7 linked regions of the Ovis aries genome follow. The protein of the gene in region 4 interacts with the protein of the main gene of each other region in a pairwise test. Links are inferred from orthologs where the notes say so. Each region holds a gene or a part of one and is shown on either strand. Other genes may lie near its edges.

The links.
Region 1: the proteins of NDN (region 4) and LAX1 interact in a two-hybrid assay, tested with the Homo sapiens proteins (2 studies listed by BioGRID and IntAct). The link is inferred for Ovis aries from reciprocal best matches to the Homo sapiens genes NDN and LAX1.
Region 2: the proteins of NDN (region 4) and E2F1 interact in a two-hybrid assay, tested with the Homo sapiens proteins (2 studies listed by BioGRID). The link is inferred for Ovis aries from reciprocal best matches to the Homo sapiens genes NDN and E2F1.
Region 3: the proteins of NDN (region 4) and FXR2 interact in a two-hybrid assay, tested with the Homo sapiens proteins (2 studies listed by BioGRID and IntAct). The link is inferred for Ovis aries from reciprocal best matches to the Homo sapiens genes NDN and FXR2.
Region 5: the proteins of NDN (region 4) and EID1 interact in binary tests that used the Homo sapiens proteins (3 or more experiments, as listed by UniProt). The link is inferred for Ovis aries from reciprocal best matches to the Homo sapiens genes NDN and EID1.
Region 6: the proteins of NDN (region 4) and MKRN2 interact in a two-hybrid assay, tested with the Homo sapiens proteins (2 studies listed by BioGRID and IntAct). The link is inferred for Ovis aries from reciprocal best matches to the Homo sapiens genes NDN and MKRN2.
Region 7: the proteins of NDN (region 4) and GKAP1 interact in a two-hybrid assay, tested with the Homo sapiens proteins (2 studies listed by BioGRID and IntAct). The link is inferred for Ovis aries from reciprocal best matches to the Homo sapiens genes NDN and GKAP1.

The regions. Positions count from the first base shown.
Region 1 is NC_056065.1:1,326,322-1,330,621, reverse strand, and holds the start of LAX1 (lymphocyte transmembrane adapter 1), read right to left. Parts: upstream 2,801-4,300; 5' UTR 2,561-2,800; intron 2,231-2,560; exon of another isoform or gene 2,225-2,230; 5' UTR 2,121-2,224; coding exon 2,032-2,120; intron 1-2,031. UniProt on the Homo sapiens protein: Negatively regulates TCR (T-cell antigen receptor)-mediated signaling in T-cells and BCR (B-cell antigen receptor)-mediated signaling in B-cells.
Region 2 is NC_056066.1:63,140,864-63,144,797, reverse strand, and holds the start of E2F1 (transcription factor E2F1), read left to right. Parts: upstream 1-1,134; 5' UTR 1,135-1,267; coding exon 1,268-1,528; intron 1,529-3,934. UniProt on the Homo sapiens protein: Transcription activator that binds DNA cooperatively with DP proteins through the E2 recognition site, 5'-TTTC[CG]CGC-3' found in the promoter region of a number of genes whose products are involved in cell cycle regulation or in DNA replication.
Region 3 is NC_056064.1:27,152,552-27,156,790, forward strand, and holds the start of FXR2 (RNA-binding protein FXR2), read right to left. Parts: upstream 2,801-4,239; 5' UTR 2,433-2,800; coding exon 2,352-2,432; intron 1-2,351. UniProt on the Homo sapiens protein: mRNA-binding protein that acts as a regulator of mRNAs translation and/or stability, and which is required for adult hippocampal neurogenesis. Specifically binds to AU-rich elements (AREs) in the 3'-UTR of target mRNAs.
Region 4 is NC_056071.1:620,230-623,651, forward strand, and holds NDN (necdin), read right to left. Parts: upstream 2,131-3,422; 5' UTR 2,043-2,130; coding exon 1,065-2,042; 3' UTR 501-1,064; downstream 1-500. UniProt on the Homo sapiens protein: Growth suppressor that facilitates the entry of the cell into cell cycle arrest.
Region 5 is NC_056060.1:59,480,019-59,483,399, forward strand, and holds EID1 (EP300-interacting inhibitor of differentiation 1), read right to left. Parts: upstream 2,229-3,381; 5' UTR 2,186-2,228; coding exon 1,610-2,185; 3' UTR 501-1,609; downstream 1-500. UniProt on the Homo sapiens protein: Interacts with RB1 and EP300 and acts as a repressor of MYOD1 transactivation. Inhibits EP300 and CBP histone acetyltransferase activity.
Region 6 is NC_056072.1:56,485,697-56,489,196, forward strand, and holds part of MKRN2 (E3 ubiquitin-protein ligase makorin-2), read right to left. Parts: intron 342-3,500; coding exon 197-341; intron 48-196; coding exon 1-47. UniProt on the Homo sapiens protein: E3 ubiquitin ligase catalyzing the covalent attachment of ubiquitin moieties onto substrate proteins.
Region 7 is NC_056055.1:35,911,045-35,915,176, forward strand, and holds the start of GKAP1 (G kinase-anchoring protein 1), read left to right. Parts: upstream 1-1,332; 5' UTR 1,333-1,458; intron 1,459-1,510; exon of another isoform or gene 1,511-1,600; intron 1,601-2,035; 5' UTR 2,036-2,170; intron 2,171-4,132. UniProt on the Homo sapiens protein: Regulates insulin-dependent IRS1 tyrosine phosphorylation in adipocytes by modulating the availability of IRS1 to IR tyrosine kinase. Its association with IRS1 is required for insulin-induced translocation of SLC2A4 to the cell membrane.

The sequences.
Region 1 (4,300 bases), on a different chromosome or scaffold from region 4:
AGATTATCCACTTACAATTAAGCAGCAGCTCTGGGACAAGAGTCCAGGTTGCTTGCATTTAATAATCCCTGTAGCATCAGCTTGTGGGGCTGGTCTTCAAGCAACACTCTGCTCTGCTGTGGAATTTGACCATGCAGATGCGCTGGGTAAGGACCGGGCTGTTCGCAATTCCTGGGCAGGGCCAGGCTAGCTCTGTTTTGGCTATAGGAAGCAGCCAGTTGAGGTTACAGAGTGCATCACTAGCAGACTTGCCCCTCCAAATGCTAGAAACCAGGTCATCCATCAGGGAAGGTTTTTGTCCTTATGAGTTCTAGACTTGTTCACCCAGTTTCATACCGGACATTTCCATGTAGTAACCTAATAGACATCTCAAACCAAAAATGTTTAAAACAGAACTCCTGTTCTCCCCCACCCCCCATAAGCCTGTTCCTCTGGTGTTTCCTGTCATCTGATGGCTTGGTCAAAACCCTTGGAGCCATTCTTGAATGTTTTCTTTTTCACACCCCACTGCTAGTTAACCAGCAGTTTCTATCTGCTCAACCGGGACATGTACCCCAAAGCATCACCTCTTGCTCCTCCATTGCCACCACCTCGGTCTGAGCCACCACTAGTTCCACACAGACCTTTGCCAGAACCTCTCTAATGAGCTCCTTGCTTTCACTCTTGGCCCCAACATACTATGTTCACACAGGAGCTAGAGTGATCCTCTGAACGGTTAAATCAGATCACGTGCCCCCTCTGCAACCCCCCATGACTTCTCATCACACGTGGGATAGCATCCATTGTCCCTAACAGGTGAGAATGTGACGGCCTCTTCTCTTCTGCCTTTGCCTGCCTCTGACCTCCTTTCCTACTATTTTCCTCTGACCTTGATGACCAGGACTCCATGCTGCTTCCAGCAAAGCACAGTCTTGTCTCAGTCTCGCTGCTCCCTCTCCCGCAGTTCAATCCCCTCATTTAATTTAGGACTCTTCTGAAATGTCACCTCCTCAGATAGGTCCTCCCTAGTCACACCCTCCTGGGTCCTCCAGTCCCCTTACTCTGCCCTGGTTTTTCTTCATAGCTTACGACTGACTGATGTTATGCTAGCCATGCTTTTGTTCATCTGTTTGTATCTGACCCTCCCACTTAACTGTAACCTCCAGGAGGCTGTCCTTGTCTGTCCTATTCACCTTGTGCCTGCCACCGTGCTTGGCACTCAGTAGGAACCTGATGGATATTTGTTAAATGAATGAATGAATAAATTATCAAATGAATGGATGTAGAAATAGTATTGGAGGAGTGCTGCAGGATTCTGACACTTTATGAATTCCTTCCCCATCAACGACCTTGTCCACCTGCAGGGGACAGGTATTTGTTTATCATGGTAATGACATTTACCTCCCCAAACTACAGTGATTTTTAATTTATTGCTGTTGAGCTGTGCTTTTATCACTGCACTGAAATCAATACCTCTCAGTGTCAAAGTTTCAAGTATTGATGGACTTTTTGTTAATATAATATTGAAGGTTTTAACTGTAAGATTTACATCTATGATTAATGCTGTGGGGTTTTATGATCCAAGGCTGTGTCTTTATCATATCTGTGATTCCATTTTCATTCATGGCAAGTGTTTAGGACGTAAAAGCACATCTGTGTAAAAAGTGGGCCGTTTGTTTCCATCAGAGTAGAAACTGGTTTTTGCTTCTGTTTCTTTGAGGAGTGATCCGTGGGACTTGAAAAAGGAAAGCTCAAGGACCGCCATGCGGGCCTCTGAGCATGAGAAACCCAGCCATGCCAGGAAGCCAGCTCTAAGGAAGTGGTGTGTTATCATATTTCCTCTCTTCCCAACAACTCCTTTCTGTTCGCAATACCTATTCCTTTCCTCCCAGCAGTTCTGAGCAAACCTCTCTGAGCCAAGAGTTTAGCGGTCTTAGGAAACGAGAGCCTGGTGAGGGGTGGCAAGGCTGCTGGGGTAGAAGCTCCCCAGGATAGACCAGGACCCTCTTTCTAAATCAGGGGAGGGGAGCGCTCACCGCCCCTGGCACTCACTTGTTCAGGCTGCCGAGGGTTCCCCGCAGAGTGCTGGGCTCTGAGGTTCTCCCTGCGGGCTCCGACTGTGCTGACGTGGTGGCATCCATTATTCTGCGACCCTCTCTGGCTTCAGCTTCTCCTCCTAGGCCTTCTCTTAGTCGTCATCAGCTTGCCAGTCAGCTTGCCACTTTTCCTGTCTCTTCCTAAACTGCTGACTCTCAAGAGAAAAGGCAGAATTGGTTTGTCTTTTACATATAATCCCATCTAGTATAAGCATTTTTTTTTAGTAAAGAAGAATGACAGAAATCCTCCTGGTCTCCATTTTCTGAACCTTCCTTGACATACAACTCGACTCTCAAATTTTCATCTTCTTAAATCTTTATCAAAATCCATCACAAAAAGTCTATTGGTTTTTACTTCTCCCTTTCTAAAGCTTCCAGTCTTTCTTTCTAGAACTTTCTCTCCCACAACCAACTCTACCTTGCGTCTATCCCTGAAATGTCAGGCTGACTTGACCCAAAATACAAAACAGCAAGTTTGGCTCTACCTGGTTGTGGCTGCGATGCTGACTGCAAGAGGGGAGAGCGCTTCTGGGTGTGGAGCTCCCCAGCTCGGCTCAGGGGGACGCCAGACGCTCTGCCTTGTGGCGGGGACGTGCGGGGCTCCGAGGGGGAGACGGCCAAGAGGGCAGAGACGGGCTCCTTGAGAAGTTCATCCTCCCCCAAACCCCCAAAGCAGAGAGAAGAGAGCAAACACTTTGCCAGAATGGAAACAGATAGTCAGCCACAGGAAGCAGTACCACCGACGTGCTGATGAAGCCTGGGGCCCAGGAAGTGCTGCTCAGCTCTCAATATGATAGAAGCAAGGGCGCCTGCACCCTGTTGCCTGGGCTGGCTGATGCGCTGTGGTCTGCGGGGAGCGTGATTCAAGAGGGGTCAAGGTGATAGGGTGTGTGTGATTGCTCCCCCTGGGTTTCTGTGATACTGAGTTTTATCGGCCTCCGGATTGACAGTGTTTGTTTCAGCGTCTGAGGAGCACTGGAAGGTGCTTTTTAGAAACAAATACAGATTTTGGGTGCCTGTGGCTGGCTCCGTGGGTGCAGGGTTTCCCAAACCTGGTGCCAAGAGCAGACGGCATGCGCACGGGCAGTCTGGAAGACGGCAGATGGGGAAGCAGACAGAGCCAAACCTCAGAACCTCGACAGCTGCTTTAACAAAATTTTGAAGAACGTCCCCCTGCCTGCGACCATCTCAAGGTTTTCCCTTGTGTGATCTTATCATCTACACAGCGTGTTTGAGTCAGCCAAGTCTTCCATCCCCTCTTATTTTCTCCTGCCCCCATGCTTGAGGGAAACAGCCTCCTCACAGGAGGCTCCCAGGCCTCAGACTGAGCTCTGGGTCTTCCGGCTCTGGCTGCACCCCTGCCCTCGCCACAGTAAACCAATTAAACCAACCACTCAAAACAGAAACCAGGTGTCTGAAGCAATTCGTCCTGATAGTAGAAGAAAACCATTCACTCCTGGTGACCGCATATGTGTTTTAAACCTAACTGCTCTGGTGTTGCCTTTAACCACTTGATCAGTGCAAAGATATAGAGGAAAACAACAGAATGCGAAAGACCAGAGATCTCTTCAAGAAAATTAGACATACCAAGGGAACATTTCATGCAAAGACGGGCTCAATAAAGGACAGAAATGGTAGGGACCTAACAGAAGCAGAAGACATTAAGAAGAGGTGGCAAGCATACACAGAAGAACTGTACAAAAAAGATCTTCATGACCCAGATAATCATGATGGTGTGATCACTCACCTAGAGCCAGACATCCTGGAGTGTGAAATCATCACTATGAACAAAATAGTGGAGGTGATGGCATTCCAGTTGAACTATTTCAAATCCTAAAAGATAATGCTATGAAAGTTCTATACTCAATATGCCAGCAAATTTGGAAAACCCAGTAGTGGCCACAGGACTGGAAAAGATCAGTTTTCATTCCAAGCCCAAAGGAAGGCAATGCCAAAGAATGCTCAAACTACCGCACCATTGCACTCATCTCACACGCTAACGAAGTAATAGTCAAAATTCTCCAAGCCAGACTTCAACAATACGTGAACCGTGAACCCCCAGATGTTCAAGCTGGATTTAGAAAAGGCAGAGGAACCAGAGATCAAATTGCCAACATCTGCTGGATCATAGAAAAAGCAAGACAGTTCTAGAAAAATATCTACTTCTGCTTTATTGACTATGCCAAAGCCTTTGACTGTGTGGATCACAATGAACTGTGGAAAAT
Region 2 (3,934 bases), on a different chromosome or scaffold from region 4:
GTGTTCCCTGGAAGAAGTGATATTTATATGGGGCCTAGGGATCTCATTCTTGACTGCGTCTTAGTGTTTTTTTTTCCCCTGATGGGTCAGTCCCCACCAGATGGCAGGCAAGTTCATAGAAATCATCAAGCCTTTTGCATCTCTGCCCTTAGTGCTGGCACAGAGCCTGGCATAGAGGAGGGGACAGTACTGCTCAAATCAGCTGATCTGAGCAATGAGAAATGGCTGATGGAGAGGTCCCAGGGCCTCCGGATTAAATGCATTTTCATGCTCAGCATACTCACCTCCTCCCTTTGTGAGATCTAACATGGAATTAATAGTGAAAATTCCACATCATGTTGTAAATGCTTGTACCTGTTTCTCTCTTCCCTTTTTCACTAAACTGTGAGTTCCTTAGCGCCAAGAGTCAAGAATGGGGCTTAGAGCCGGCTCTCAAAACGTTTGTTGAACGAGTGAATCAGTTCACGCAGAAGTTGTGCATAGGGTACTGGAGTTTCCAGCTATAGGAGGGCTTGTAGAAAAGCCCAGAGCTGTATTGGTCCAGATATCCCTCCCCGTTTTCTGACAGCTCCCTTTTGCTTGGGCTCTGGGTGAGAGGAATAGGGTGGGCACACGATTTGAAAGTGAACGGCTTTGGTGACGGAAGTTGAGGGAGAAGTGGCCGGAGCTTGGAGGTGGGCCTGAGAACCGAGAAGAGAGGAGGGGCAGTTTCTAGAGATCTGGCCGAGAGTGTCGGGGCCACAGGTGAGAGTTATCGGGGTCACGTGGGGTCTGCTGACGTTGAGATATGCTTAATGGACATTCTGTCCTCAACTTACAGGCATCGGCCAGATGGGGGTGCGTCGGGGAGGGGGTGGGGCCACCACTCCTCGGACAGGGGCCGTCCCCTCTGAGGGCGGGGAGTGCGAACGCGCCTGGCACCGCCCCGACAAAGCCTGCGCGCGCCCCGACCCCCGATTGGTCGTGCTCCCTCGCGCCGCCGCCCCGTCCCGCCCTCCGCCGCCGGACCGGCGCGCTGCAGCCAATGGGTGACGTCGCCGTCGCCTCCGTCACAGTCCGGGCAGCCAATGGTGGTAGCGCTCGGCGGCTCGTGGCTCTTTCGCGGCAAAAAGGATTTGGCGCGTAAAAGTGGCCGGGACTTTGCAGGCAGCGGCGGCCGGGGGCGGAGCGGGATCCGGAGCGGGATCTAGCCCTCGCCTCGGCCTGCCGCCATGGGCCCGCGCCGCCGCCGCCGACTGCCACCCGGGCCGCGCGGGCCGTGAGCGCCATGGCCGTGGCCGGGGCCCCCGCGGGCGGCCCTTGCGCGCCGGCGCTGGAGGCCTTGCTCGGGGCCGGCGCGCTGCGGCTGCTCGACTCCTCGCAGATCGTCATCATCTCCACCGCGCAGGACGCCAGCGCCCCGCCGGCCCCCGCCGGCCCCGCCGCACCGGCCGCCGGCCCCCGGGACCCTGACCTGCTGCTCTTCGCCACGCCGCAGGCGCCCCGGCCCACACCCAGCGCGCCGCGCCCCGCGCTCGGCCGCCCGCCGGTACGGACATCAGGGACACTGGGCTGAGTGCGCTGCCTTGGACCCCTGCGCAGACCCGGGCGGGGCGCAATGTTTGGCCCGGCGGCAGCGGGGGCGGGGGAGGGTGGGCTGAGGCGTCCAGGCTGGGCGGTGCCGAGCCTGGGTTGGGCCTCGGGGCTCCGCCCTGGGGTGCGGGGTGACCTCGGGCCAGTCCTTGTTTGCTGCTCTGTGCTGTGGGCCTCAGCTTCCTCGCCGGAGCAGACTCAATGATAATAATGGTCCACGTGTATTCAGCTGTCGCTGACTGCATGCCAGGCCTTTGGCTGACTTCAAGGCAGCTAAAACTCACATCCATGCTGTGAGCTCGGTGTTGTCACTGTGCCCATCTGAACTGTGCCCAGAGACGGGAAGTGGCTTGCCCCCTGGTCACAAGGCTGCAAGTGGGATTTAAACTGAGGCCTTCTGGCTTCAGACCATAACTTGTGGCTGGGTGGTGGGCATGGCTGCTTGGGGAGGTCAAAGTGGGGTGTTCTGGGACCAGTCCGTAGAAGAGCCATTGAGGAGACCCTCCTTCCTGCCTCTGGGACTGCCAGGTGCAGGCCTGGCCCTCCGGGCCTCTGGGGACAGGCTGCCTGGCTGGGAGGCCTTCTCTGCAGGGGCGGGGGTAACTGGGCCAGCTGCTGATCCCCTCCCTCTGCCTGTCCTTCCATCTGCCACCCTCCACCCTCCCAGGCCCTGGTTGCCATGGAACCTCATTAATCAGGCAGGCAGACCCCCGGGCCCCAGTGGAAGTCCTGGGTGGGCTAGGCCTCTGGGAGCTGGTGAGGAGGCCCCCAGTACCAGGAGAGAGTAAATGCCCCAGGGATATCCCTTGATAAAGTGCTCCCTGCACAGCGAGAGGCTAAAGACAGTTGAGACTAGGGGGCCCAGAGAGGTGTCTGAATTAGGAGGTGGGGGGAAGGAGGGGGCGGAGGCCTAGAGCTTGGTCCTGTGGGCTGCAGGACAGGGCGTGGAGACCAGTTTGACTGGTGCAGCCTGTGGGTAAAGTTAGGGCATGGATGGGCAGGCAGGATGGGGTCTCAGCACAGTTGGCTGAGCAAGTTGAGGCAGGGAGGCAGGGCCCAGGGCAAGGAGGTGGAAGCCCAGCTGCTGATGGAGGCCTGGGTAGCAGCTGGTCCCTGAGACATCCCAACAAGGTTCCCCCGACCCCTTTGGCCCCCTGCCCAGTACATCCTTCCTTCCGGAATCACTGAGATGCTAATAATAACAATAGGAGGCACCATTGTTTTGAGACTGTTTTGTGAGTTAGGCCATGTGCCAAGCACTTTACCCAATTAACTCATTTAACCCTGTCAACAGCTTTCCCGTTTTACAGATAGGGAAGCTGAGGCTTAGAGATGTTAGAACCTTCCCTGGTGAGTCAGCTCATGAGTGGTGGGACCAGACCAGATTTCCTGAGTGGTTAACTGCTGGCATGCCTTACTTCCTGGAGATGCTAATAGAGATTGTAGGAAGCCCAGGGTCCCTTCCTCCAAATGAGTGAGAGGGAGGGAAGTTGCACAGGGTGGGTCCCCTGATTGGTCTCCTATACCCCAGCAACCTGTCCCTGCAGGTACCAGCTTGGAGCCTGATCGAGTAGCCTCCATTTAGCTGATGGACAGGTGCTTAGGCCCAGGTCCTGCCCTTGGGCAATGGAGCTTCAGGCTTAGAGGGACAGCCAGGGACTGGGATCAGGAAGTTTGCCCTCTGCTCCACACCCAGGGTGTCAGGGGCAGCCTCACTGGGTCTGAGCATTCCATTCATTCAGCAGTTGTTAGTGAGTGCCTCTGAGGTTCTAGGCACAGGCACGTAAAGAGCCTCTGCCGTCACAGTACTTAAGGGCTAGTACGTGTTTTCTGCCGTGAGCAGGAGTAGGGCCCAGTACCACCTTGCTGCTGTAGTTCAGAAACATGGGCCCAGCTTTTGCTGTGCAACACCTCCTAACATTGTACCTGTGAGTAGCCACTGGCTATCTGAGCTGTGGCCTCCACTCACCCTCTGCACTAGCATTTGTTTGGGGGCAGTCCTTGAAACAAGCTACAGGCTCAGCTTCTGCACAAGTGAGCATTCATTGAGTACCTCCTGCCTACAAGGCTCTGTGCAATTCAACCATTCCTCCTGGCTCTTCCGGTCCACATCTCCCCTGTTGTCATGGCTCTTAAAAAACAAACTGGATGTAATGCATATTTACTATGGAAGAGATGCGAAAGTTGAGGGGGACAAGATCCCCAGCCCCATCCATTTTTTCTTTTTTCTCTTCCTGTGTTCCGATAGCACATCATCCCCACTTTAGAGACAAGGCAGCAATTCCTCATGGTCCTCACCCTGATACCAAGGTTACTCTTGAAATGGATTCTATAATAATACAAACTGAAGCAGAGAAAGTGG
Region 3 (4,239 bases), on a different chromosome or scaffold from region 4:
ACCACACTGAAGTCTGCTGAGTCATGAATATTAAATCAGCAGCAAGGTCAGATTCAGTAAGTATATGGCACTGAAAGTTAAGAAAGATTACTGAATTTAAGGATGTTTTGTTGTTCAAATGAGACAAGGAGCAGAAAATGCTAAAGTGGCCAAAATACAAACTCCATATTACCTGGCTTTTAGTTGAACTCCAAATTCTATTCTCTGATTCAAAGCATCCTATCTTTGATTCACTGAATCAAGTCTATCACTGCCATATAGCCCACAGGAGAAAAGAGAAAGATTCAGAGACAGACTTTCTACTTGACACTTATATGTGGAAAGGGAAACATGCCCCTTCCCAGCAGTCTCACACGGTTAATTCAAACTGGATACTGATCTTTCCCATGCTTCCTGGAACAAAAGCAAACATTATATCTTGATCTCAGACTCAATTTAAGAAGCACTTTCTTGGGGCTGGGAAGGACCCTGATGAAGGACAGGATATTGTGGGAAATTAGGTTAAAATCTTATGAGAAAGGGTATTTCAACAAAGGTAAGCAAGCCTGAGGGAAAAGGATATAAGAGACAAATGTACTCTATCAGAATCAGAAAGGAATTAAGAGACTTTGCCAAAGAAAACAAATGGTATGGAGGCATGCTAGAGAAAAAAGTCCCATGAGTTAGGAAAGTATGTAGAAAAAGAATGAAAGAAGGGGTAAATTGGGAGCTTCCTTCTTCCATGTTAGCTGGGTCATGGAATAGGTAGTTTTGGGGGATTATGCAGAAATACTAGGATAAAAAGCCACAGACTTAAATTGAGAAATTAAGACAGATGAGGTTACGCATAGGCAATGAAGAATATAAAGAAATCTGGTGAGGGGAAGTCAGGCAGGAATGAATAGGCATTTAGAGTGGGTCAAAGATGACCACTGAACTTATCAATTGAAGCTGGGGCAGAAACCTACTCCAAGGGCTAATATGAGACCCTTTCCAGTTATAGCAAGATACGACTTCACAGGGAAGGAAAGTCATTTCCAAGATACCAAGGTGGAGAGGTCCACTACGGGAGGAAAGGCTTGAGGGGAAGTGGAGGAAAGGGGGCTCTTGTCCTCACAAATAATGGATGAGGGCAAAATGAGAGAACAAGTCAGGAAGCAGGAAAGTCTCTGAGACAATCCCAGGCATAAAGCACAAAGCGGTTCAAACTAACAACATAACAACAGTGGCAAAAGAAAAATTCCTGAGAGGCAAGAGGGGTCTCCCTCTAGCTTAATATAAATGAATGGGGAAAAAAGTGTCCTAAAAAATAGATTCAGGGGACTTCCCTGGCAGTCCAGTGGGTAAGACTCTGCATTCCCAATGCAGGGGGCATGGGTTTGATTCCTGGTTCAGAAACTAAGATCCTGAATGCTGCACAGCCAAATAAATGAATATTAAAAATGTAAAGACAGTCCTCTTCTCCTTTAAAAAAAATAAATAAATAGACTATTGGGTTTCCAAATTGGGCAGGTTGACCAAAAGTCTTCTAGAAGTGGAAATCCTTAAGAAAAAGATAAACAGAAGTAATCCTCATGAGATCTCATTTTAGATAGAGAGTAGGAGTATGAAGCTCACACTCCTCAAAATGAAGAAACTATATGAATGATTTGAATGTATGAGGTCAACGTGAGATGACAAATACAAAACCATCCTCCAGTAGAAGAGCAGACCAACTAGCCTTGGAAATAAAGGGGTGGGGTGAGAGAGACTTGTGAAAAGATGCCACCTTATGGCTAGGAGGCAACTAGACTGATACAGCCCAGAGTTCCTGAGGTCAAAGATACTAAATGTCATAAACAGCTTCTGACCGTTTCTCCTTGGTGTGGGAACAGAAATATAAGATGAAAGTGGAGTGAGTCTTTCAGAGCCAGTAGGCAGAGGCCTCTCCGAGGAAGATGAAAGGATCTAATATGGGACGGCTTTCCCAAGGGGGTAATAGGGGAGAATAAAGAGAATTCTCCATGTGCTTGGACTGTGGGGAAGAGGTGATTAAGATCCAAGGTATGCCTTCTATTAGGAGACAGGAAAAGTCAATAAGACGCTAGGGTAAATGGGGTCTCTCCTGGGGGCTGCGGGGGCGCTGATCCAAGCACAATAATGCCCTGATGTTCATTCCCAGAGATGCGGGTAAAAGCAGGTGTAACAGAGGGGCCAAAAATAAGGGGTTAACTTCCAGAAGTCTCCCCCAAGGAGGGCCGCGGGTGGGATCGTGGGTCCAAGGTTCTAAGGGTCAGGGCTAGCTCCAGAACCTCGATCCCACCCCACTCTTCCCCGTTCTGGCTGGAGGGAGGGGGCTGAAGACCGCGTCCCTGGCCGGCGCGCCGCCTCACCTTGTAGAAGGCCCCGTTGGAGCCGCGCACCTCGACGGGCAGTCCCGGCTCCACATCCCCCCCCGAAGCCAGGCCGCCCATGGCGCCGCCACCGCCTCCGACTCCCCCGGCGGCGGCTGCAGCAGCGCTCTGAGTACGGGCCGGGCCAGGTCCCCGGCGTCTCCCTGGAGGAGGAGCTGGAGGGGGAGCCGCGGGGGGCGGGAGCCGGGCCGGCCCCACGGCGGCCCTGCCACAGCCAACGAGCAGGGGGCCGGGGCCGGGCCGCTCCCCGTCCGCCGCCGCCGCCTTGGTCTCCGCCACCGTGAGGAAAACGGCCGCCGCCGCCGCTGCCTTCGTCACCTCAGCTTCCGCCCGCCGCCGCCCCCGCTGCAGCCTCAGTCCCGGGACCCACTGCTGCCGCTGCCTCTACACGGCCTCCTCCTCCCTCTGCCGCCGCCGCCACCTACTGCGCAGACGCACCGGGCACCCGCCCGCCGCGCGCGGGCCCCGAGGGCCACGGCGCACGCGTCAAGGCTGGCGACCCAGCTCTCGCTGGCCAGCGCAGCAGGGCTTCCACACTCCTCTTGCCTCTCTCACGCCCCCTCCTGGTCGCTGATTTACGCTTGCGCAGAACCAAACTGACTCTCTTTCTTCGCCACCCCACCATTCCACCGCCCAGTCTCTGCCTTTCCCCGCCCCACAACACAGAGAGCTAACCAATCATGGGGAGGGAGGGGCCGAGCTCACTCAATCGGATTGGGCTTCTGATGCTCCTTGGTCAGGCCACACCCACTTCACGGCTGTGCGCTCCACCAGGCTTGGAGAAGTTAGGGACGGGCATGCGCCTGAATGATTGCTTGGTCACTTTCTCCACCTTTGTCTTTTTGGTGCGCACGCTCCGGGGCGGGAGGCGGGGGGAGGGCGCGGGAAGGAGGAGTCGAAAAGCAAAAATGGGCCTAGTGCGCGTGCTCTGGGCCTTACAGTCCACATGCCGGTATGGACTCTTTTGAGTGTTTCTGTTTCTGCGCGTTAAGATTTAAATTAAGAGTCACCTTCTTGCCTTGAGAAGATTCTGATCCTGCATATGATGAAAGGTTAAAGAAAGATTTCAAGACACTACCGAAAGGCAAATGCAATTTGGCACAAGATTATTATCTAAATGCTGAGAGATTTCAAAATGGGAAAAATTGTTAGAGAAAGGATAGTTGAGGGGAAGCTTAGGATTCATAAACTAAGTAAGAAATTTAAGTAGAAGTGAATAAAATAGCCAAGAAATTAGGATCATGTGTGTGCAGCTAATCATTTAGCCAATATTTATTTAGCCCTCACTGTGTTCCAGTTACCCAAAACAAGGATTTTATGATATATTGGAAATGGCGCAGACAATCACATTTAAGTAAATAAAGTGATTAGAGTTCATCTGAAGATGTGTTAAAGATGAGGACTAGGATAGAGGGAATCCCAAAGACACAAACAATGGTCAGTTGCCCTTCAGCATGATAGGGAAAGACCACTACAGGTGAGGTAATGCAAATTGAGATTTGAGGGATAAGTAGGCGTTTGCTAGAGGAAAAATGCAGTAAAACTATTTTTGAGAGAACAAGGAATAAACAGTGCAGAGGAGCAGAAAAAAACAAAACATGTCCTTTGGGGAACCACAACTAGTTCAAATAGCATTTGGCTTGAAGTAGGGAAGCTAAACTGTGAAGCACTTATAAATCAGGTTAAGGAGAATGGCCTTCACTTTATCAATACTACGGAGTCACTGAAAGATTTTAAGCTGTAGTGTAAGTGCAGTGGCTCAGCGGTAAAGGGTCTGCCTGCAATGTAGGAGCCGCAGAAGACACCGGTTCAATCCCTGGATCAGGAAGATCTCCTGGAGATGGGAATGGCAGCCCACTCCAGTATT
Region 4 (3,422 bases):
AGTCTGGGTCCAAACCCTAAAACTAAGCCTCTCCTCCCAGGAAGCCTTTATGATCCAGGGAAAGCTAATTATCTGCTTTATTTCTGTATTTCCTCCACGGTGCCTGCTTCACAAGGCTATTGTGAGGATTAAAGAGAGAAAATATATGTAAGGGTTTAGTACAAGGCCTCTCTTAGTGCCCACAAAAGACAGCTATTATTTTTTAGAAAATATGGAAAATGTAAGAGGGGCAATTACTCTAAATATCAGCATTTGTTATTTCTATATAATGTGATTATGACCCCTGTTTTGGTTTTTGCACTTCTACTTGTCAAAGCTTTGATATGAACTTGTGAATTCCTTCCTGAAAATAAAACTATGCCCTTTACATATTTATGAGTCATGATGAGTACTGACATCCCCGTCCTATTAGATGAAATAGTTATATCTGTATACTTTGTAATTCCCATTCCAAACCCATAATATTCTGTTAAGAAGATAAAGTACACTTTTTCCATGAATGACTGTATCACAAGAATCTTTAATGTTTAAAGTTTACTCATGGTGAGGTTGTATCTGTGTTTAGTAAAGTGTGCCCACATTGAGTCTGTTTCAGTTCACATCACCAAACTCCACAGGGATGTTTCCCGTGCCCAGGCAGAGCACAAAGACAGGGGTCAACTTTTCTCTTGGTTAGGCCAGCTTTTCTGGGGAGTTTTTCCAAACTCTGCAAGACCAATTTACCCCAATACACAGCCTCCGTCACACGTAAAAGAATATGGAAAATGCCTCAGTGTATTTCATAAGTTTAGCATGTCTCTGGTACAAAAAATTCAAGAAAGGTAGCACAAAAGCGAAAGCACCAACTGAGCTTAATTACAAACAACCATGCATGAATCCTATACACTAATATTACTGAAATGAACACAACATTGCATTAAGAGGTATAAAAGCACTGTATGGAAAACTTAAAAGTTACACGTGAAATACTGCACTGTAGATCCTGAATACTCTAACGTCCCACACTCCCACCCTTCCTCCACCCTGGTGAGGGGCAGAAAACTTCCATCTGCCTCCAGACCTTGCTAGTCCTCGGAGACACTGTTGCGGGGGCAGTGGGCAGTGGGGTGGGCCTCCCGCAGGGCTCTAGCCTCTTCCAGAGCCTCCCTGTAGCGGGAAGGCCAGGCCTGGGGGTTTTTCTTAAAGACCCTGGCCAGGAACTCCATGATCTGCATCTTGGTGATTTCGCGGCTGGCACGGGAGCCCCAGAAGAACTCGTACTCAGGGGGCTCGACATGGGGGACGCGCTGGTACTTCAGGTAGTTCTGCTGGACGAACTCCTCGGTGATAAGCTTTCTCACGTCTCCGAAGGTGGAGTGTTTCTTCCAAGGCCTCAGCCCCAAGATGCGCAGCACGTTCCAGACTGCACTCTCTCGAGCGCCGCGACCCTTCACGTAAATGAGGCTCAGGATCATCAGCAGGAGGCCCGTCATCGGCATGCGGTTGCTCAGAGCGACCCTGTCCAACTCCTCTGGCTCCAGAGCTTTGACCAGCGAAAACTCCATGGTGTGCAGGCTGGTCAGCCTCAGGTGCAGCCCGAACACGCGTGCGAGGATGAGGCTGGTGCGCCGAAGGATGCTTCTGCACCACTTCTTGTAACTGCCGATGACATCCTTCACCATGTCTGGGAACCAGATGATCATCCTCTTCTGGTCCTTGACCAGCACGTACCACATGAGCTCGTGTGCCTTCTGCACCAGCTGGGCCGGGGCCGGGGGCGCCGGGCTGAGCTGACTTGTGCTCGGGGCCTGGTGGGGACGGCCTTCGTCAGCGGCCTGCTGCAGGGCCTTCGGGTCTCCCTCTTCGCCTGGAGCCTGGGAAGGCAGCGAGACCAGAGGGGCATCAGGCGGGCTTAAGGGAGGGCGCTCTGGCTCAGTGAGTGTCGCGGCCTGAGACCCCGGAGGAGAGGGCCCCCCGGTAATGCCGGGGCTGCCGTGCACCTCGGAGTTGGAGGCCTCGGCCGCAAAGTTGGGGTCGCACACATCCTTACTTTGTTCGGACATATCTGTTCGGTCTCGCAAGAGCAGGGCCGCCGAGTCCGAGAGCTCTTCGAGTCTGCTTTCCCTCCGCGGACTCCTGGAGAGGAAGTGCGCATTGCTGCGCGCGGCGCCTTCCGCAGAGGCCAGGCAGGGCGGGGCGGCGGCGGGCCGGGCCAATGCGCCTGCGCGTCCGCGCGCCTGGGGCCCGGCAGTCGAGTTGGCGGGCGGGGCTCCTGGTGGGCTGCAGGAGGGGGCTAGGAGGCCCCCAGTAAGCATAGAGGGTCCGCTAGAATATGGGCCTCAGTGATCACACCCCCTCCCCAGGTATCCTGTTATGGCTAAGGAGGAGTTCTTGAGGAGGAGGGGAGGGAGATGGGTGAGCACTGGACAAGGAGTCAGTTTAAGGGACAGATGGCAATTTAAGCTTCTGAAATGCTGAAACTGAACTTTCTTAGGAAGCATTTGATTAGGTATATCCAAAATCAAGTTAGAGATCAATCCAAGAGTAAGAACTAGGCTGGTGTGTCAACTAGGTTTCAGATCAGTGTGAGAATTTAAACTGAGAGAACAGCCAGGATTGCCCAAGAAAATATGTCAACTCTGAAAAAGAGAAGTCGCTTAGTCATGTCCGACTCTTTGCGATCCCATGGGCGTAGCCTACCAGGCTCCTATGTCCATGGGCTTTTCCAGGCAAAAATATTGGAGTGAGTTGACATTTCCTTCTCCAGGGGATTGAACCCAGGTCTCCCGCGGTGCAGACAGACAGTTTACCCTCTGAGCCACCAGGAGAACTAATTGGACAAATTGGAATTCTGAAGAATAACAACAAAAATTCATTGATTTCCTACCGTATGGAAGAGTTTTGAACAAGAAATGCAGAATGTTGTCAATCCGAGTGTGATCGAAGTTCTCTTGAAGGCAATATAATAATGACTTTGTTAGTGTTTTAATGGTCATTGATTTTGGTTTTTCTATTCCATTGGATAATTTTGATGTAAATTTTGTTTCATTAGAATCCCCTCACACAAAGATTATATTAGCATAGACTCATAGGATGTCTTTCCGCCTGTTTTTCCAGGACCTTCCTTTTCTTTATGACTGTTTCAACCTCCGCTTTTCTTCCTGTGGAAACTTCACCTTCTTAGAGCACAACATCCCCATCTTCCACAGATACTGAATAGTATCACATGCAAATCCCTCCCAAGATACTTTTTTTTTCTTTTTTAAATTAACCTAGATCCCCAAAATTTTCCCAGATAACAATTGATTTGAGATGTAACAATTGGTGGTTGTATATCAGTTTTCAAATTTAGAAACCAAATCTGCAGTTTTGTTTGAGACTGTCAACAAAAACAAAGTTGACAGTCCCAGAGGTGCATCCTTTAAAAAAAAAAATTGGGCACA
Region 5 (3,381 bases), on a different chromosome or scaffold from region 4:
GCCAAGCTTTGTCTGAATTATGATCATCCTTGTCAGCCCTGTATTATACAGAAAAGAACCCCCTTCCCTAAAAGACAGGATGACCGCAACATAAGTAAGGCTCTGAGTTGTCCTATTATAGTGGATGTATCCTTTACTGCCATAATGCAGCAAAAACATCTGGTACATTTTTACTAATCTTAAGACATGCTGGTATACTCAGTTTCACTGGGCACAGCCTTCTAATTATATTATTCATAGAACTTCAGCATCTTACTAACCACCATGAGATGCTTACTGATTTGGCAGGTTTTCCCAGCTTGGCAAATTCTCTTATAGGAATTTACTAAGTTTAATTTACACCAATTAATTTGTAATCCGGTATTTGAAGCTGGAGCACTTTCCCTTATATAAGTCATTAAATTTAAATCATAAAATGGTTGCAATCACACAATCAAACAGTATAGCAAATAAAAAGTAGAATTAGAGAAAGTATTATACAATTAGACAAACAAATAAAATACAGAGAACAAGAAATCTTTATTATCTTGAATGCTGGTGCATAACCAAAAGCAAGCTTAATTAGAGGAGGAGACAGAGGGAAACTTCAGATAGTGAGGTGGATTTCTGGGTAGAAAACCCTTTAAAACTTTCAAGGGTTGTTCATAGTGTCTTTTTTTAGATGTAGGGCTTTCCTTTTACTGGACAATGTTCATTTAACAGTTCTTACATTATGAAGTTCAACCAGAGTCTTTTGCCTGTAAAGTTAAATGAAAAAAAGAGAGCAAGTGAAACAGAAAATTCTCTAGTATATACAGATGTTTCAAGAGTTTGTGTTCTTTGTACCTTCATGTACATTTTACAGTCTAAATTTGAAACTTTATTAAGGACGTCTTAAGTTTTGACTTTAAAATATGTTCAAGGCAATGAATTTTCTTGAATTAAAGATTACAGTAGCTTTAAAAATGATCAAGATATATGTACAAACAAAATCTCAGTTGTTCTTGGAAACACATTTTAATAGCACACAAGACACATACTTCTTTTGGGTCTAGATTATCCTTTGAGATACTGAAGAATACTCGGTAGATTTATTTTACACTTAAAATTTAGCCTTAACCACAGCTCGGATAGATCACAAAATTGAATCTTTAAAGTTTTCTCAATATGCTTTCAGTCCAAATAACTCAAAGACATCTTATGTCCTAAAATGGATACATCAGTTACTTTTTCTCATATAATTATCATCAGTGGGCTCTGGTACTGGCAGTCTGTCTTGGTCATAATTTATTCTTGCAAAGCCATTCCTTACAGTGAAACATGAAAAGATTATCTTCCTCAATGCAAGGAAATTACTCTGAATAAACAACAAAGTCAAAGCCATAAGTGTCTCTGGACATTCTTGAAAACAGGTTTCAACAGTACTAAGATACTCTTCTTTAACAATTTTCTTTCTTTTTCATAACTGTGCAGTCACTACCTTATTCTACTCAGCAAAAAAAAAAAAATTTTTTTTGGGGGGGGAAGATTAAGTTTTTCATTGGCACAGAACTATTTGGAATGAACTCAAAAGACAGTGGAATGTTGGGTCTCTCCTCAAGCAGCTTCCTCCTCTCTTAACAGCATTTAACTACTCTCTGTCAATGATCTCATCACAGCCGAGTTCTTCGGTCAGACGATTGACAACCATAAGTGAAAAAAGCTCTTCGATAAAAGCCAATTGATCAAACGGGGTCTTCTCATAATGCATCTGAAACCCGCCATCCAGAGCTGCTTCTCTGGCTCTGGAGGTTCTCAGAAACATCTTGTTGGCTTCTTCAAGGGCCGCTGAAACTCTGTAGCCCGCACCACTGAGCGGCTCCTCTTCAGGATAGTCATAGTCGTCCTCCCAGACATCGAATTCCTCGCCCTCGTCCTCGCTCTCGAAATCAGGGCCCGCGATCTGGCCTGGCTGCTCCCCAGGGCTGGGCCGGCTAGCGAGGCCTCGGGGCCCCTGTGGCTCCGCCATTGGCTGGGTCGCCTCCTCCTCCATTGGGCCTTCCTCCTCCAGTTGTGGCGGGGCCCCGGCGCGGGAGGGGTTCGGGGATAGCTCCCGGCTCCCGCCGCCTACCTCCATATGCGGAAGGTCACTCTCACCAGGAATCACATCCATCTGCAGATCGTTGCTCTCCTCATAGAGCTCGGACAGCTCGTTCATTTCAGACATAGTGCAAGCAGCGCAACCTCCCCACAATTCGTTCGTTTTCCACAAGCTCGGATATACGCGGGCGTGCGGTTGTGCGCTTGCGCAAGCGCCGTGCGCTTGCGTGACCTCGTGCGTGTGCGCGACCCCCAAACACCGCCTCCTGCTCAGAGCGCGGCTCTGGTTATCGACAGGGGAGCCTGGCGTGCTGCGATTCATGGAGTCGCAAAGAGTAGGACACGACTGAGCGACTGAACTGAACTGAGTGCCCCCCATCGCCCTCTGGGGGACATTCCCAGTGCTCGGTGGTCTGCGCTCCGTGCGTTCGAATTTCAGACCTAGGGCTGTGCATTGCTTGGCACCTTACCTAACCGTTCTGCTGCTTATGAGGCTATAAACTTGAAAATACTCTATATGCCTTCTGTAAGACCCCTTACAGAAGGTGGGAAAGATTGAGGGCGAGAGGAGAAGGGGACGACAGAGGATGAGATGGTTGGATGGCATCACCGACTCAATGGACATGAGTTCGAGTAAACTCCGGGAGTTGATGATGGACAGGGAGGCCTGGCGTGCTGCAGTCCAGGGGTCGCAAAGAGTCGGACACCACTGAGCGACTGAACTGAACTGAAGACCCCTTAATCTTCCTCCCCTCTCGCCCCTCTCCTTTCTCGCTCTCCTCTTTCTGCCGCTCCTCTTACCTCCATCCCCAGGCAGTCGCTTCTGCTCCAAGGTTTTAACTAAGTTTATCTCTGCGCTGCTGCTGCTAAGTCGCTTCAGTCGTGTCCGACTCTGTGTGACCCCATGGACTGCAGACTACCAGGCTCCTCCGTCCATGGGATTTGCCAGGCAAGAGTACTGGAGTGCGTTGCCATTCCCTTCTCCTATCTCTTCGCTAATAACCGCTAAATCTGCACCTGAAAACCACAAGGTGTTCTTAGCCATACATCAGCATATTAAGAACTCATCCATCCCTCTCTTCTATTTTTCTCATTTAAAAAATGTTAAATCACAAATAAGCATATTATTGGTGTTCTTTAAAAAATATGCAGAGAAGAAATACATGGGCCCATTTTTGTCCCCCGCAGGAGGTGACTTTACACTTAATTTGCTGTGTGTTCTGTAAGTCTTTTCCCGTGCATTTATGTGAATCTTTTAAGTCTCATGGAAAAATCTTATATTTTTAACGTCTTACATAATTGCCTTCAACTTATAAAAAAGCA
Region 6 (3,500 bases), on a different chromosome or scaffold from region 4:
CTCTCTCGGTTTTCGATGAAATCCCAGAGCCGCACGGAGTTAAGGAACTGCAAAGACAGCCAGCAGACATGCTTGGTTATTGCTAACCGCAATGCGAAAGCAGAGTCGCTGAGACTCCACTGGCATCCCTGTGGCCAACGCCCTGAAGAGGCCAGGAGTGGCCCCAGCAATGCCCACATGTGGGCAGAGTCCTCACCCGCACGGTGCCTTCGGAGCTGAGCTGTTTCCGTGGTTTCTCAGGCTCTGCCAGCCGCCCGTCAGGGTAAGCATGACGGTAAAGGCATTTGTTTCCAAATGGACAGGTCCCTTTGCCTTGCTCAAAGTATTTACAAGCTTTTTTCCTGAAAAGCAGAAGAGGATAATGTCAAAACCTGGATGCAGATGAACCACTCCTCCGCTGACAGGGAGGCTCAGAGACGCTGGAAGCCGATCTCCACGCTGGACTGGTGGTTCACCACGCTGCACAGCCTCCTGCGGAGTCTCACGCACCCGGGGAGCCCCGTTCGGCCAAGACTCTGAAGCTGGGCCACTCATCTCAGCCCAGGGTCCCAGCACTGGCTCCACCTGGGCAAGCTCCCCGTCCTCCCAGCCAGCAGTCATGTCAAGGTGAACACGGGAGCCTGGACCTCGGCAGCTGCGTTACGGGTCTCATACTGATTTCCCTTGGTCCCACCCTCCAGAGCAGGGCTTCTTCACTCTGGGCCACAGACCCCTGCGCGCCTACAAAATATAGTCGGAAAGTTAAACTTTCCCCATCTTCAGCTTCTAGCTACAGATCTCTGTTAAAAATCCTGCTCCTGAAACTCAAAACCAGACAGACAATCCACATTCCTTACTGAAATGAAATCTGTGGTCCAAAGTTATCCCAAGCTGAAGAGATGCCCAAGAAGCCGGAAGGTGTCTGGAGAAAGTGAAGAGATGAAGCCCGACCCCAGATGACAAGACGCAGAGAGTGAGGCTGGCCGGAGCCCAGCTCCCCACAGCCGGCCTCCCACAGGACTGACCCACACCCAGGGGCCGTGGCCCCCTGTTCCCGAGCTTCTGAGCAGGTCCTCAAAGAACCGCCCAAGCCGGGGGTTCTTAACCAGGGTCTCTGGGACACTGGCTTTTCAAAACGTGTCAGGTTCTAGAGGTTCTAGACTCTAGTCCCCACCCTAAAATGATTTTTCCCCAGCCTTATCTGGTCACCAAGTCTACAGAGCACCTCCCCAGACGACCCTCCTCTCAATTCGGACAGGACTGTGACCAGAATCCCCTGTCGTCCTCTTCCTGAAGACCCCAGCCAGGCTGAGGCCCTTCAGGACTTGTGTCTGTGTTGCTGTAAATGCCACATCTTCCCACGTTTCTTTTAACCCAAGGGACTCCTCCCCAAACAAAATCTGCACCCCCGTCATTCCACCTGACCCCACAAGCCCAACACACAGGCTGCTCACGCGTCCGGCTCAAGGTCCCCACCCCATCCTGCTCTCCTGACACGGCCAGGTGCCATGAGGACTACATAACTCCTCGCGTAACTTCCCGTGCAATTTCTTACCAGCTCTCCCACACTGGCATTTAGCTTGAAGGGGCTGGACCCACAACTCAGTAAAATCTGTGCAATGCACAGAAACACTCATCCACAGAAAGCGAGGCCATGAAACCCAACGGCTGTACTGGGATGTTTTCAGGTGGCTGCAGCAGAGCTTTCTTGCAGCAGAGCAGCCTTGCTGCTCCTGCCCTCTGGTGGACACACAGGACCACCACAGGAGGTAAATCGATAAGCTCTCAAGCCTTCAGTAACTTGAAGGAGCTAGTTTTGATCTTAGTACCATTTCTGCAGATAAACTAGTGCCTTCAGGTCTTTTAATCATATCTGTATTTCTAGTTTATGAAGAATGAACAAAAGCAGCGTTTTTCAAGGGATTATAGACACCTGGAAGAATGGAATGGTAAGAGGTTGAGTCACCTTTTTAAGAAATAATAGTGCTCAACCTAGAGCAGGCCCCAGTCAAATACATTGGCAAGGGAGCTAAAACTCCAGTGGAAAAGCCATGTCTTTGTGGCCTGAAGAACGTTAAGACAGAGTTGGTGGAAACCCACTATTCGAGGTGAGGAAAGGTCTGTCGCTGGCTCTTTGTCATTCCCCACCATTCTGGTTGCTAAAAATACAAGATGATACACAAGAAGAATCAGTAAAAGGTGCCCCATTCACACTGGAGGCTACATTCAAGATGACAAGGGTTTCAAAGCAGCTGCTTCTGAAAGGTGTTCAAGATGAACAGAGAGAGAAAAAGATTGTGTGTGTGTGGGGGGCGGGGCGGTGGCAGGGAGGGGAGAAAAAGAAACTGAGTGGGCAATATAAAAACGTCTATCGGCTGCAGAAAAAATACGTGGTGAAACGATGGTCTAGATTTACTCTGTCAGTTCCTAACAGTAATGCTTACATGTGACAATAAAACCCTCTAGCATTTTTGGTCTCTCACAATATTTAGCCCTTAATTGGAAGATGATGGTCTGAGATTATTTTCTGTTTTATAGATTTCTCTAAGCTGAATTATACGGTCTCTGAGGATAACATCTAACAGATAATGGTGTGAGTTCTTGTTGACTTAATTAGAGCACACCGATCTGCAGTAATTCTCCTGAGGTCAGACACTGGAAGCTGTTTAGTGTGTGCTGAATAACATTCTAAAACTGATCCTAATGCAAACAAAACATACGCTACAGTGCTGAGAGCCAGGTGAAAAATCCCAGACTACCTGTTAGAGTTACTTGCGCCATGGCCTTCCACTGGTTTGAATGATTAGCTGAGTATCATCTGATAAGTCTGTAAATTACCCAAAAGCCTGGCTTCCAAAAGCCTGGCTTGTATTGTAAGTCTGCCTACCTCTTGATACTGCCAGTGTCCTCTGAACTTCAGGAGGCTTACTTGCAAGCAGAAAAGTACCTCACTTGCTTAAGTAAGTAATATCCCACATCGAAACGCCCTTAGAGCACTGTCTGCTACGCCCTTAAGTGTCCAGCAGATAGATCTGTCTTCTCAGCTTTACAATGGAAGTTAACCACTCTGGGATAATGCAGGTTCACATCATCCAGACTATCGAAGCGTGCCATTCCATAGACTCCTTCACATGTTCTAGGCATGTGAACACAACGGCCCCCTTCCTCCTGCTGGAGAAAGCGAAGTGCTCATTCCCCATGTTCTTTTGCTTTGCATTAGCAATTAAGTATTTTTAATGTAAGATAACCAGATACTACTTTACTGTTTTGTCTTAACACTTTACGTTAAAGACCTCTTAGGTAAGACTGGGCAATTCTGCTTAACTAGTTGATTAAAAGAATGCTAGTAAGATCCTAACAGAGAAGGCAATGGCACCCCACTCTGGCCTGGAAAATCTTATGGACAGGAGCCTGGTGGGCTGCAGTCCATGGGGTCGTGAAGAGTCAGACACGACTGAGCGACTTCACTTTCACTTTTCACTTTCATGCATTGGAGAAGGAAATGGCAACCCACTTCAGTG
Region 7 (4,132 bases), on a different chromosome or scaffold from region 4:
CTTTCAGGTGAACAAGGAAGGGATTCAGCCATATGTATGTACATGTATCCACTCTTTCCCAAACCCCGCTCCCCTCCAGGCTGTCACATAACATTAAGTAGAGTTTCATGTGCTACACAGTAGGTCCCTGTTGTAAACCTCCAATCTTTTAAACCACGAAAACTAAGTAATGTTTTAAAGACAAATTCTTACACTTAGCATTCCAGGCCCCATTCTCCTCGCTGTCTGCCACTTCTCAACATGCCCTAGAATGTTACCATTTGCTTTTTCTTAACATTACTTTCACTAATTCACCTTCACATATGTTCTCATGTTATCTCTTCTTGTTGTAAAACCATCCCTATCTCCTTCAAGGTCAATCCCAAATGCCTTTTCCTCCTTACTGCCTTTCTTTCCTCATTCCCAGAGAGGTCTGAGCAGTTCCCTGATATTCTGCAGTACTCTGTATTTTTCTCGTGGCACCTATCATGATTTATCTTTTAGTATAACTGTTTTATCCCTTATTCTGAAGGCAAGGATAACATCTTCAACTTCCCTCTGTAACTCTGCAGCGTCTTACCTATGGGGGCATCTACTATTAGTTGAAATCAAAGTGATTTAGGAAGATAACGTGTGCCACGGTAAGCAGCAGAGAATACGAAGTCAGGACAGTTGGGTTCCTGCTATGCCATTTATTAGACGTGAGGCTTTGGCTAAGTCGCTTAACTTGGCTTGGACAACGGGAATCCTACTACTTGATGGAACACTAAGGGAGATAACTCTACAGAAAACTAATCCATGTTCGTTATTTTCCTTGCAGAGAGTGGATGCAGCCTTTCTATTCAAATCTTGTTTGCAGGACCATCCCTACTTAACCGACCGGAGGTCGGGCCCCCGAAAGGCTGGGAATTCGGGCCCCCATGTTCCCCGGGCCTCCTTCCACGGCAGGGCTCTCAGTTCTCCGCGATGCAGGTGAAGCCGCCGACCTGCGGGGGAGCGGCCTGGAGTCCTATTCTCTCGGGAGACCTCCCTCCTTCCCACTCACTCCGGGAAAGCTCTCCCCTTCCCGGTAACCCAGAAGACCGCGGCGCCGCCGCCTACGTGAGACGTTTGGACCCTGCCCGGCCCCCGTAGCTCCCCTTCTCCAGCAGGTGGTTCTGGTCCTTTCCCCCAACTCTGGGCGCTCACGTCACCGGCGAACCTCTACCCACGCGCCAGCGCCGCAACCAACCGAGAAAATAAACAAACCCCAGCGCGCGGCGGCGGGCGCGCCAGGTCCCTCCCCTGCTCCGCCCCGCGGCTCTCACGCCGCCCCCTCAGCCGGGACTTCCCTCCCGCCCTCGGCTCACGGCCGCGCTCTCTCCGCCCCTCACCGCGGCCCGCAGCCGCGCTCCCTGCCGCCGTCCGCCCGGCGCGACGCCCCGGGGGCCCGTTAGTGCTCGGCGCCCGCTCGCGGGGCCGCCGCGCGACCCCTGCTCGGTGCGAGCCCGCCCCTGCCCCCGACACTTGACCCAGCGCAGTCCCAACGCCCAGTGCGGCCGCCCCGGGAGCCGCGGAGCGGCGGCGGCGGCGGCGGGGGGAGGAGGGAGAGGACGACCGGGCCGGCGGCCGGGGAGGCCCGGTGAGTACGCGGAGGGCGGGCCGCCTCACGGGGGGTCAGCTCCGGCGCCCCTGAGGCAGTGGTGGCGGCCCGGCCGCGCCGCTCCGGGCGCCCCGGCTCGGCAGTTGGGGACTCGGCTTGAGGCGACGGGCCCCGCTGGCCGGAGCCACTGGGCAGAGTGCGCGGGAGGGCCGCTCCTCAGGAAGGCCCTAGGCGCCCAGCTCGGGGGCGGCGGAGAGAGACCCGCGCCGACCCCAGGCCCGGGCGCACCGCCGGTGCCTGCGCCTCCCGAGACCCCGCGGGGGCCGGGCCAGGGGGCGACCGCGGTCGCGGGGCCGCCGAGTGACAGGTGCCGCCGCCCCCTCCCCGCCGCGGGCTTCGCTCTCCCTCCCGGGAAGCCGGGCGCTCAGAAATTTCTGGAGCAACGACCCGACTCGCTGTTTTTCTCCGTTGCAGGTTTTGAAACCGCTTCTTTGCCAGAGTTCGGTCTCTCCCAGCCCTGTTTCTTTCTCGTTTGTACTTTGCGAGAGTAAGTTTGGAAGCATCGGTTAACAGCCTATGGGTGAAATTTGGCTTTCGTTCATGCATGAGGTATAGTAAATTACTTCTTGAATAAAGTGCTCCTCCTTCTCCCGCTAGCTGTTGAAAACAGAGAAGAGTTTTGAATTTTTTTTTTTTTGCAGTTACTGTTTGTAATAAGCAGTCTTCCAGAAATTTTGTCATCTCTAACACTTAGGGGTTTTGGTCGATATTGAACAGTAAATGGCTTATTAAATTGTGTTTTCTCTCCAACTTCTTTTAGATTTTTCATTTTTAACTTTACCTAGAGTCTCCAACTGAGTAAGTGCTATGGCTTTCCTTAGAAGCAGTAATGAGAAAAATCGTCTTTCCTCTACTGGACAGCCACGGAAATATTCTCTACACTTTTCATTATTGTCTGCTTCTTTACATAGTAAACGTGCTTGTAAGTGTAACCTGAATCGTGAGTTTAATAAATTCGACTTGCCGGCTATACGAATATTAAACTTCGTGGCAATTAAAAATATAAAAAATCTGTAGAAATACAGAATTTTTTTTTCTCAACAAGTTCATAACACATAAGCTCGCATTAGTCAGATCCTGATTAATGGAAGATGATGTCCTACTTGTTAACAACAAACTTAGCTATAAGACATCAATCAGGTGGCTTCACTCTATAAAGAGTGAAGAATTCAGAATTGAGCAGGAAGAGATCATTGGGACTAATGAAAATACGTGTGCTTTATTCATGGGAGAATCCCATAGTTCCTCACTCAGTACCTGCGTGGACTTTTTGCTTAGGTGTTTCAATCCACAGAAATTAGATGCTTCAGGTTAGAGACGGGAGACAGTATTGAACTATGAAGGAAAAAAATGTCTGTATTAAGTTCGTTGAAAGCAAAGTTTGGGTATGTTCCTGGCACTTACTGGTTGTGAACCTTAGTTTATACGACGCCAAAATGAAAGATATTGTGTAGTTGCCTTATTTGAGGAACAGAACATGAAAAAAATACAATAAAAAATTTTCACCAGATATTAAGTCACTCATACTCAGTGCCATTTCATTTTATGGCTTTTGTTTTTTAAAACTAAGCTACTTTTCAATGAGACCACACTGTATTCATTTCTTTTTTCACCAGGCTTACTGGTTGGTTATGTTAGTGGAAGATCACTATTGTTTTTATAAAAAGGTATATCTTTGGTTGTTCTTGATTGACGAGCGTATACATATATCAGTTTTGAAGTGCCCTAATTATGGTTCCCTGGACTGAAGGATGGCTACTGCTACCATCTTTCTTGACCCTAGAATGATCATAGTCAAGAAGAATAATATCATAGTGGCACTTTTTCTCAGAACTTTGGTAGAGGAACCCAAGAGGCTCAGCCATTTATGAAACCTGCTTCTTGAAGTTTAGGCTATTCATTTAAAAAACGTATTTACTTAAGCTCCTGGTGTATTCTAGTTCTTTTAAATTAATGCTTTAAAACCAGTTCTGTTTCCTGAATAAATATACCTTCTAAACGAAATTAGTTGTGATGATGAGTTAGTAGAATGGCACTTGGAACTTTGAACTGCTAATAACCACTGTTAACTCACATTTGCATTTTGGGAATTGAGGATTATCTCTAGTGCACTTTGCATTTTGCTACATTCTATTTTAGAGCAGGTCTTTGAATGTGTAGATACCTGTGTACTTGGGGAACGTAAATATTTTTTAAAAAACCAAATTCAATAAACATATCTTTTGTGTGCCAGGTCCTGTGATTTTGTTGGGGATGGAAAGAAGAGGCCCTTGCCTTTCAGGATGTTGAAATCACGATTATAAAGAGCTGGGCACAATAAACATAATTTTAATTAAATCTATCCAGTAATAAAAGTAAATAAAAAGTACAGAAATATTGCAGGGGAGGAAACGATTAAACAGGCAGGTTAGAAGAAGCATTTTAGAGATGCTAGCACCTGAGCAAGAGTTTGAGGAACAAATTCTGGGTAGGCCAAAAAGTTCCTTTAGGTTTTTCTGTAAGATCTTATGG